Linked DNA regions of Arabidopsis thaliana. The protein of the gene in region 1 binds, or shares a complex with, the protein of each later gene. Each region holds a gene or a part of one and is shown on either strand. Other genes may lie near its edges. A codon is read from its position in the direction of its gene.

The links. The genes of interacting proteins can lie anywhere in the genome.
Region 2: the proteins of CAB2 (region 1) and TAP38 are in contact, whole or in part, in a crystal structure (PDB 4YZH), measured with the Arabidopsis thaliana proteins. Residues at the interface, in NP_564340.1 of Arabidopsis thaliana: Arg36 (codon at 2,128), Lys37 (codon at 2,125), Thr38 (codon at 2,122), Val39 (codon at 2,119), Ala40 (codon at 2,116), Lys41 (codon at 2,113), Pro42 (codon at 2,110), Lys43 (codon at 2,107), Gly44 (codon at 2,104), Pro45 (codon at 2,101); in NP_194509.1 of Arabidopsis thaliana: Arg69 (codon at 2,965), Asp93 (codon at 2,893), Gly94 (codon at 2,890), His95 (codon at 2,887), Ala96 (codon at 2,884), Tyr201 (codon at 2,333), Trp220 (codon at 2,276), Val222 (codon at 2,159), Asn223 (codon at 2,156), Arg225 (codon at 2,150), Cys227 (codon at 2,144), Gly228 (codon at 2,141), Asp229 (codon at 2,138), Ile230 (codon at 2,135), Ala231 (codon at 2,132), Val232 (codon at 2,129), Arg240 (codon at 2,105), Arg257 (codon at 1,974), Trp258 (codon at 1,971), Phe262 (codon at 1,959), Asp339 (codon at 1,361).

Annotation. Positions count from the first base shown.
Region 1 is NC_003070.9:10,473,660-10,478,153, forward strand, and holds CAB2 (chlorophyll A/B-binding protein 2), read right to left. Parts: upstream 2,311-4,494; 5' UTR 2,234-2,310; coding exon 1,430-2,233; 3' UTR 997-1,429; downstream 1-996. Other genes in the region: CAB1 (chlorophyll A/B binding protein 1), read left to right, coding at 4,412-4,494.
Region 2 is NC_003075.7:13,850,923-13,856,587, forward strand, and holds TAP38 (thylakoid-associated phosphatase 38), read right to left. Parts: upstream 3,316-5,665; 5' UTR 3,170-3,315; coding exon 2,856-3,169; intron 2,781-2,855; coding exon 2,652-2,780; intron 2,564-2,651; coding exon 2,458-2,563; intron 2,385-2,457; coding exon 2,274-2,384; intron 2,163-2,273; coding exon 2,083-2,162; intron 2,003-2,082; coding exon 1,949-2,002; intron 1,856-1,948; coding exon 1,739-1,855; intron 1,643-1,738; coding exon 1,588-1,642; coding exon of another isoform or gene 1,584-1,587; intron 1,494-1,583; coding exon 1,461-1,493; coding exon of another isoform or gene 1,452-1,460; exon of another isoform or gene 1,377-1,451; coding exon 1,330-1,376; intron 1,212-1,329; coding exon 1,091-1,211; 3' UTR 855-1,090; downstream 1-854. Other genes in the region: AT4G27790 (Calcium-binding EF hand family protein), read left to right, coding at 56-311, 441-566; AT4G27810 (uncharacterized protein), read right to left, coding at 3,719-3,805, 4,246-4,749.

The DNA of each region.
Region 1 (4,494 bases):
ATTGATTCCATTGTCAGTTTATCCACTAACCTGATAAATCTCATGAATAATGTAATTAATTTAACCTTGAAACTCAGTTGTTTTTGCTTTTAAATCAAAATGCAAAGACTCAAAAACACTGATTATTTGCATATTTTGCAGAAACATAAAAACTATCCAATTGATTGTTCAAACACTGAAAAACTATCATCTGGTATGTTCAACATCATTGGTTTAGACAATATGTAGCTTGTAAATTTTTAATCATGATTCTAGTAATCTGTTTTGTAAACTTGAACAACCTTTTAAAATCTAAAGTAACTCATTCTATCTTTCTAATTCATCATAAAATTCAAAATTTGTAGAGATGAAAAACCACAACAGAAAACATTTTGTTAGAGGTTTAATTTGCAACAAACTATTCCTCAATCACTTTGATAGAAACTCTTTAAGCTATCATTCGTAGTTTACTGATTTTTTCATCACCCTAAATAATTTCGACAGTAAAAGTTTTTTACAAAACACAATTTTATTTTTACAATCACTAATTGCCCTCACACATGAATTCACCCACTCTTTGGAACGCAATTTCTAAGCTTTGGGGTGAAAATGAATAAACCTAGCTATATTCATGTTCTCCTGTTCTATTCTCTTGTTCTTTCGATACCACACACCAATGACACAGGCGCTAGCTCTTCTATGCTCCAAACATATATGTTATCATGTGTTCACCAATTATAGCTAGTGTGACAAGCGAACCTGGTCCACAGAGGATGTCACGGAAGGCAATCTCTCGCACGACAATGGATTTTAACTAATATGTAAGATATATGATCAGTCCATTCAATGCGTGGATGTGATTTTAATATGGTATCAGAGCAATGTGATATATTGTTATCCAGATATCGTATGAGCCAATGTTACGAGCTTCAGAATCAACCAAACACGGAAGAAACTACTTCATTATCTATTCTCTAATTCTCTCAATCAGAAGAAAAAAAACGATTGCAATTTCTTCTTCAATGCGATCATATTTTGTGAAGAGACGATATACAAGTTAAATCAAGGGAATATAAAAAACTTATATAAAAGACTCTTTCGTGTTGTTCAAGCTAACATCCGAGAATCACATTTTCTCTTGATTTGAAAAGAACATAATCTTTGTACCCATTGCCTTAATATGTTCAATCACGTTGCTCGATTGTAGAAATAGCCTCTACAACGGAGTGAACCCAAGAACTGAAAATCCAATTCAATTATAGTTCTACGAAACATATTTAGAGAACAATGAGTTATTTGATTAATGACAAATCATACAAAGTCTTTGCAAATTTACATCTGAAAGTCTCTACCATCCACCACAAACACAAACCTACTCTTTCTCCTCCTGTCTCTCACTCGAATTCAAAAGATTGAAAGAAAAGTAAATTACAAACAGATAGAACTTGGCTCACTTTCCGGGAACAAAGTTGGTGGCAAAGGCCCAAGCGTTGTTGTTGACTGGATCGGCCAAATGGTCAGCAAGGTTCTCTATCGGTCCCTTACCAGTGACGATGGCTTGAACGAAGAATCCAAACATAGAGAACATAGCCAATCTTCCGTTCTTGAGCTCCTTTACCTTCAACTCAGCGAAGGCCTCTGGGTCGGTAGCCAAACCCAATGGGTCGAAACTGCCACCGGGGTAAAGCAAGTCCTCGGCCTCTCCCAATGGCCCATTTCCTGCGACTCTGTAACCTTCAACGGCTCCCATCAAAATAACTTGTGTGGCCCAAATGGCCAAAATGCTCTGAGCGTGAACCAAGCTAGGGTTTCCCAAGTAATCGAGCCCTCCATCGCTGAAGATCTGTGAACCAGCCTTGAACCAAACTGCCTCTCCAAACTTGACTCCGTTCCTGGCCAAAAGCTCAGGGAAGACGCAGCCTAGGGCTCCGAGCATGGCCCACCTGCTGTGGATAACTTCTAGCTCACGGTTCCTTGCGAATGTCTCGGGGTCAGCGGATAGACCAGCTGTGTCCCATCCGTAGTCTCCAGGGAACTCTCCGGTAAGGTAGCTGGGTGACTCGCCAGAGAATGGACCCAAGTACTTGACTCGGTCGGATCCGTACCATGGGCTGCCTGATGGACCCTTTGGCTTGGCAACAGTCTTCCTCATTGTCACACGGCCGCTTCCAAGGACTTCTGATGCCGCAGGGGAAAGGTTCACAGCCTTTCCGGCGAAAGCAGGGGAGGAGAGAGCCATTGTTGAGGCGGCCATTGAAACTTTTTTGTGTTTTTTTTTTTTTTATGACTAACTTGTGAGTGAGAGTGATTAAAACTGGTTCGATAGTGTTGGATTATATAGGGATATTGTAACGTTTGTTATATCTGAAGTAATCTTTATCTGTTCATTCATTGGATTTTAAGATTTTTGTTTTATCGTTTAGTAGTCTTACGTGGCAATCTCTAGTCCACCAGCATTTGTTTTGATTTTTTCATTGCAGCCAAGCGTTTTGTGACCACAAGTTATGAGCCACTGAATACTTCAACGGTTACACTTACTTACACCCTCGTGACAAGAATGATTTTTGCTACAACCCAATAACTAAAACTTAAAGTATAACATTTTGAAAATATAGATTCTGATGATCGAAACATTAATATAAAGTAACATTATAAAAAGCATTTACCCACACATAAATATCAATATTTTCAATGGTAATTAGTTCATCATCACTACCAGTTTAATTTCAATTATGAATCGATTTCATCGTCACTTTATCCAATAACCAAAATAATCTCATGAATTATGTGATATCACCTTAAAACTTTGACGTTTTACTCTTTATCGAAGAAACACAACGATTAATGAAACACTGTTTTAACTTATCGACCATTTCTAAGAACATGAAAGAACTATATTAATTCATATGGCATGTTCATCATCATGGGTTTAGACTTTAGAGAACATATAGCTACTTTTTTTCTTATCATGATTCAAGTTATCTTTATTGTAAACTTCAACAACCTTTTGAACAAACTTATTTATTCGCTTTTTCCGAATTCATCAACAAATTACTCCTCAATCACACTCCTATAGAAAACGGTTTAAGCTATCATTACATGTCTAGTTGGTTTTACTCAGCCCTAGAAGTGTTGTTTATTGCATCACTTTCCACGAAGCACAATTTTTCTTTTTTACAATCACTAGACCTCACAGGCTCACACATATGCTTTAGAGCACATTCTAAACTTTGAACTATAAAAGCTGTTAACACTAATACACTATGCGTTCTTTTTTGCTCCAAACACTTTTGATCCATTATTAGGAGACACTCCACTTAGAAAGATTTTCTAATCCTTTGGTCAACTAGGAAGTTCAAGGTTTTTCTAAACAGAAATTCATTTCACAAGTAATTTAATTTATAAGGAAATGAATAGAGAAATCAAATCATTGAAGAACTACAAAATATAGATTCAAGGTCAGGTCTAAGAAAATATTCCTGAAGCTCAAAAAAGAGTTTTCCTCTCACATTATAGAATTGGCCTTTACTTCAACATTTTCCCACCTATTCCACATTTGGTCAGAACATTTTTAATTACTTGTGGATCAATTTCCGGTTGAAATGGGTTTGGTGAATATCCGGTTCAGTTATATGGTGGCCGTTGGAATTGGCTTATTAGTTGTGGCCGTTGTTGAAGCCGTTGGTATTGGTAAGGGAGAAGCAGACTTGTGGCTATGAGTCTATGACCATGACTCGTGATTATGGAGCTGTCTTATGACCCTGACCATCACCTTGATCTGGTGGATTCCAATGTTTTCTTCTTCTTCTAATAAAATATTATGGTCAATACAGGTGCTAATTAAGATGGTAATAATTTCTTATGTTTCTGTGGTAAAGTTTGATTCAATTCCGTAGTTTTAGATAATCTTATTTCCATACATAAATTTTATAGTTTTATCTACTTTGTTCTTATGTTTTATCTCTAGCCAAGAGTTATTATTATTATCAGAAGAAGAAAAAAAAAAGAAGCATATATACAAAAGGTTTAATAAAATGTATTATACAAGGCAATTATCCAAATTTTTTTTGTTTTGGTTTACATTGATGCTCTCAGGATTTCATAAGGATAGAGAGATCTATTCGTATACGTGTCACGTCATGAGTGGGTGTTTCGCCAATCCATGAAACGCACCTAGATATCTAAAACACATATCAATTGCGAATCTGCGAAGTGCGAGCCATTAACCACGTAAGCAAACAAACAATCTAAACCCCAAAAAAAATCTATGACTAGCCAATAGCAACCTCAGAGATTGATATTTCAAGATAAGACAGTATTTAGATTTCTGTATTATATATAGCGAAAATCGCATCAATACCAAACCACCCATTTCTTGGCTTACAACAACAAATCTTAAACGTTTTACTTTGTGCTGCACTACTCAACCTCAATGGCCGCCTCAACAATGGCTCTCTCCTCCCCTGCCTTCGCCGGTAAGGCCGTCAAGCTTTCCCCCGCGGCATCTGAAGTCCT
Region 2 (5,665 bases), on another chromosome or scaffold:
CATAAATGAAGCTTAACTAGGAAACAACATGTTGTTTGATATATATAATATATAGGGGCATGGACACGAACGGTGATGGGAAGCTAGAGTACAAAGAGTTTGTAAAAAATGCATATGAAATGTATAAAGAATTCGCAAAGTTCGAGAAAGAGGAGGATGAGAATGTGCCAACACCTCAGCTTCTGTTCGCAGAGATGGACAGAGACAAAGACAGATTCCTCGTGGCCGATGAGCTTCGACCCATTTTGCAATATCTTCAACCTGGTGAGATGAGTTATGCCAAATTCTATTCTACTTTCCTTTGCCACGAGGTTAGTCTCTCCCAACCTAAATCTTAATCTTAAGTTTTCTTTCTCACAACTTTGAAACTCATTAATAGTGGATGTATATGTATAATGCTTAGACTTTCAACGTCCAATAAATTTTAATTATTTTGTTAGGCGGATGAGGATAAAGATGGTAAACTATCTCTTGAAGAGATGTTGCACCACGAAGATGTCTTTTACAAGGCAGTTCATCACGAAGACTTGGACGACGAAGACTATTTTGATCATGATGAACTCTAACTTTTGAATTTGTTTTCCTTCAAATTTTAATCATAATTTTTTTTTGTTCAATTGACTTCTTAATTCATCTCGTCTAGAATGGGTATGTTAGATTGTTAGGCAACGAGATTACATGCACAAATTCCACCGTGGTTGCGTTGATAGTTGGCTTTTGAAGAGTCCACAATGTATATAATACAATGTCAAGATTTTTTTTTTTTTTTTGTGATATGATAAACCAGAGAATGTCACAAAACAAAAAGAATTATAGATGCCTAAAGAAAATATCAAGTAGCTAAAAATTGGAACCACCAACTGTGGCATGAGCCATGCGTTTCTTTTCAAAAAATTTCTCTTAGTCGTTGGAAGATGCATTTATTTGTAAATGTAGTTTCAACGCTTGTGAAAGTGGGATATATAATAATATAAAGCTGGTTCTGTTTGTGAGGTATCTTCATATCTCCATTTCTATGGGAAGACTAGAGTGTTAGACATAGTTACAGGTTTTATATACACTAACGAAAGAGATAGAATGTTCAATTCACTTAAGATAGATGTGAAGACATCCATATGCCAACAGTAACTAAACCGATAGTCGTTGCAGCCTGAACCAGTTCAACCACTACGTTTTGTCGCTGCGCGGGGAGATTCTTCCACTCTGTTCTTCTGTTTATGCAAAAATCGAAACCAAAACACGTTAAGAGTATATAGATTGAATAGCTAATAGATAATGTATACAGAGGTTTCATATAGCAGTGGAACTTTTGTTTAGATGAACCCCTACCCTAGATCAGCAATAATGATGCTAATGTTGTCCTGAGATCGCCGGTCCTGTAACGTTGGAACAAAATCGTACATTTGAAAGTTTTGATTCCTAATCAAAAGAAAGGCTGAGGAGGGTATTAGCTATTTTACCAAAGCTACTTGCGCAAGAGATTCACAAGCAAGCTGTTACATATGGACAGTTAGGAAACTAGTTAAGCCTTAAAGTCATACATGATTATTGAAACTAATTTGATAAGAAGATGAAATAAAAACTTGCCTGCACATTCCCATGTTTCCGGAGCTGATCCCTAACATAACTAACCACATCTGAGCTGTATTGGCAAAACATTGATCACTGTAAGCTCTATACTTTTCCCAATTAAAAAGCATATGACTGAATGGGGGAAAGAGGAAAAAGAAAAGGAAACCTCTTCATGTAGTCCCATAATCCATCAGAAGCTAAAATAATGAATTCCACATCAGATGTCAGAGGTACTTGGAAGATATCTGGAGTCGCCACAACCATGTCCCCTTTAAACTCGATTCTGAGAATTTATCTCATGAGAAACAGATATCCTTGAAATGGAATAACAGGAGAGACGAGCAAAAGTAGAAACAGCTTCCAAGTAGTTCGTTACCTGGAAACAAACTTCTCGGACCATCTTCCTTCATCAACACCCTTCTTTAACATACTGTGTATGAAACCCTTATGAGCAATGAGATAACAATTATAAAAATAGAAGAGCCGTTGTGAGAAGAGAAAGAACCCAACTCATTCTTCTTTGTCTTAAACCGGATGTCACCAAAAGCACGAGATACAGCTATGTCTCCACAAATCCTTCCATTGACAATCTGATTATACAAAAAGCAATGAATCGGTTTTAAGCCAAATTCTCGGAGAGATAGATAAGCAAATCCAATGATACTTGAGGAATTTGAAACATGGAAAATAAGAAGACACACCCATCCACCTGCTTCTTTGACCCTTTTCACTTCCTGAATAGCTGCTCTACTGCTTCCATATGGACGGTGATAATCAGTCAATTCCTCGATTTGCCCAGATCGAGATAAGACCTATTTCAATGCATTAACAAGACTTTAGACATGACCAAGTTACAATGATCCATTTATAAATAAGAAGACTTACTGCACACGAATCACCAATATGAGCAATGAAGGAAACATCATTTCTGATGATCATTACAGTGGCTGTTGAACCTGATTCATCTTCTTCGTCACCGTTAGCTTCTAGCCTGGATCCAAACGCATGATGAATCACTTCATTTCACTCAAAATCATCAAAATTCATTCAAGCTCTGAGAAATTTAAGCTCATTTTCACCATTTGAGCAAATTGCGGTCAACGCTTTCAAAGGCCTTAATCAAAGCTTCCTTGATTGCTGCGAAATCGCCTCCATTCAACAACGATCCAGCTTGCAATGCACCAACACACTCTTTATACAGCTCTTCCCTATCAATCATCATCACCATCGTCAACACTTAAACCCTAGAAGACAGAGCTTGCATGAGAAGCAACACAAGTTACCTGAGGAATTTGACAGAGGACGACCCAGCGTGGCCGTCGAAGACCGCTGCGTAGGAGAAGCTATCGACAGCATCAGAACGGATTACGATGTCGTCTTCCATCTCATCTCGGAATCCTTGAACACTCGTGTAACCCCAACGAATCGGCGTCACGCCAGTCAGAGACGACGGAGCGTCGATCGCAATCGCGGAGCAACGGTGACGACCATACGTGGGATAGACGACAAGGCCACCGCCAGCGTCGGCGGAAGGATAGGCTGAGTGGCGGAGAGTGTTGGAGTGAAAGCGATGAAGATGCGGCCTCAGAAGCGCCATGACTCAGTGAGTCAGGCAAAGCGAGTTAAGTAGAAGAAGAGAAAAATCAAAAGAGTGTCCTTTACGGTTAGTGGCCGTGGATTTTCGTAAAAAAATATCTGAGGATAAGAGAAATCAACGCGGGCTTCTTAACTAACTTAACGGTCCACTTTATAAGTTTTGGGCTTAGGCCCAAATCGTGATCAATCAACTTTTATAGCTTTCCTTTTCAGGAAAGTATTATTGCTGTCGCTAGCAACTGCAAATAGAAAGGTCATGTAGTTATGTTTTGTATAATAAATTTTTGGTTTTGCATAATGCTCTTGTCCTCCTTCATTTAAGAATTAAGATGTTCCCTATTCTTTTACCTTTTTCAAGTATAATTACAATAATCCTATTTATCTAGAGGAACAGTGTAGTTTCAGGGTTTAATTTGGTAAAAAGTTAAGAATAAACTTTTCCTCATGTCTGTAAATTATGTGGTAATATGTATACAGATGGATATTAATATTAGTCTATAAAATTAACTAAAGATTTAATGATTTATAAAAGAAATCGAAGAGATTTGATTTAAATATTGGAAGAACTCATCCGTGGAAGATTCTCTTGTCTCCGCCTCCATGGGATCACTTGCTTAAATCCTTGGTAAACCCTTGCCTGCATTTTATTATTATGTAATCAAAATGAGCCTAAAAATGAATTCATATGCACAAGCCGAAAAAAACAAAGCATATTGAAAAAACACTCCATACTATATAGAGTAACCAAAGACTTTTGAAGGGAAAACCTAAACTTTTTAATCAAAAGGGACATTTATTCAAATCCCAAAAATGTTGAAGTTTTGTTTTGAGTTAGAAATCATTGAATAAAGTTTGAAATTTTTGATAAAACGGTTGGTACTTTGAACAACGTAATAATGTATTTTCCTTTTTTTGATAACGAAAATTATAGTGTTTGCAATTCTGAATCATCGACTACCTTTGACTACAAAAGAATACGATTAACTTGCTAGTTACTAGTAAACTACCCGGTAAGAGTGTGTAATTAGACAGCTAAAAATAAGATGTTAGAAAAGGTGATGAGTGTTCAAAACTTACCAAGAATTGCGATTTGGAATGAGAGAGATTCAAGAGGCTTCCTTTTCTTCTAACTCTACTAATCTTCACCGTTGTACCGCCGCCACCGTCGCAGCAGCGGCTATTGGTGGAACGTGAAAACTCGAATCTACCCTCAGAGGCTCTTTCGCTTCTCCTTATCACTGATAAAGACCGGCGAGGTACATCGTAAGGCCCATCAAGAACTGTGGTCGGAGATGGCTCATCATCGGCTGGAAAAAATAGCCTCGGCGGAAGCTCAAGGCACCGCACGACTCCTCCTCCTCCTCCTTCTCTTTCGTTCTGCTTGGAAGCCAGCGGTTTGTTCTCATCAGAGACGCGAGGTTTTCCCGGAGCTTCCTCCCATAGAAAAGGTACTGATCCAGCGATGTTCACAGGCGGCGTCGCTAGCCCTGGAGTGTCACATGCTCTGTTAAATGGAATCGAGAACAAAGGAAGCTTAGGAGTCGCACAAAACCGTTCTTGATCATCAAATTCAAAATCCATCGCCTTGTTTTTCTGAATAAGAAACTTTCTTTGACGTTATATGAAATGGGTTGGGATTTAGATAGATAGAGACGGTATATTTTGGTTTGAGTTATATGAACACAAGAAAAGGGAAAAGAGAGGATGAATAATGTGAGGAAGTGTGTAGTATTTTATGAAGCTGAAAGAGAAAAATGAACAAAACGCTCCTTGTGGCGCTTCTTATTCACGAGAGTGATCCCAAAGAAGAGAAGAAAATATAAACAAAGTGGGTGGGTGGTCCTACATTACGATTTTCCTAACGTTGGGTCCTTTCAAATTTCATGTCGAGCCTTTATTGCCTATAAATAATACCATTATTTATTGTTATTATTATATAAAGAAAAAAACAATGATAATCAGAGCTGCGATAGTGGTAACAATAAATAATGTATATAAATCCTGAAGAAGTCTTCTTCGTCGACAAAAATAAATTATCTTAAAATAAACAGAGGTGGGTCGTTGTAGGTTTATCCTCGAATCTGTGTGTTGTGGACCGTAGTTATGCCTAAAGATGTAATACATGCAGTAGTATATAAACTGAAAACAAAAATGTAATATAGTAGTTTTTTCATCTAGTTTAGTCCACATTATTTGCTATCTGTAAATCTGATTAATTGTCCATCTTTATCTCAAAACAACGAAAACGAAATAGCCTTTCATACAAAAAGAGAGTATCAAGGCTGTATTTGATGGATATACATTAAACAAAAATGGGTGAAAGTGAGGAATGTGCTACGATAAAGGTCAAAAGGCTGCTCTTGTCGTTGCATGAGATATGTATGAGAATAGTGAAATGATTTAATCATGGAAAAAAGGACGGTAAAATTAAACAGATTTAGAAGATATTAGGCTGATCATGTTATCCTTGTGAGCCCCCATTCAAGTTTAGATACTT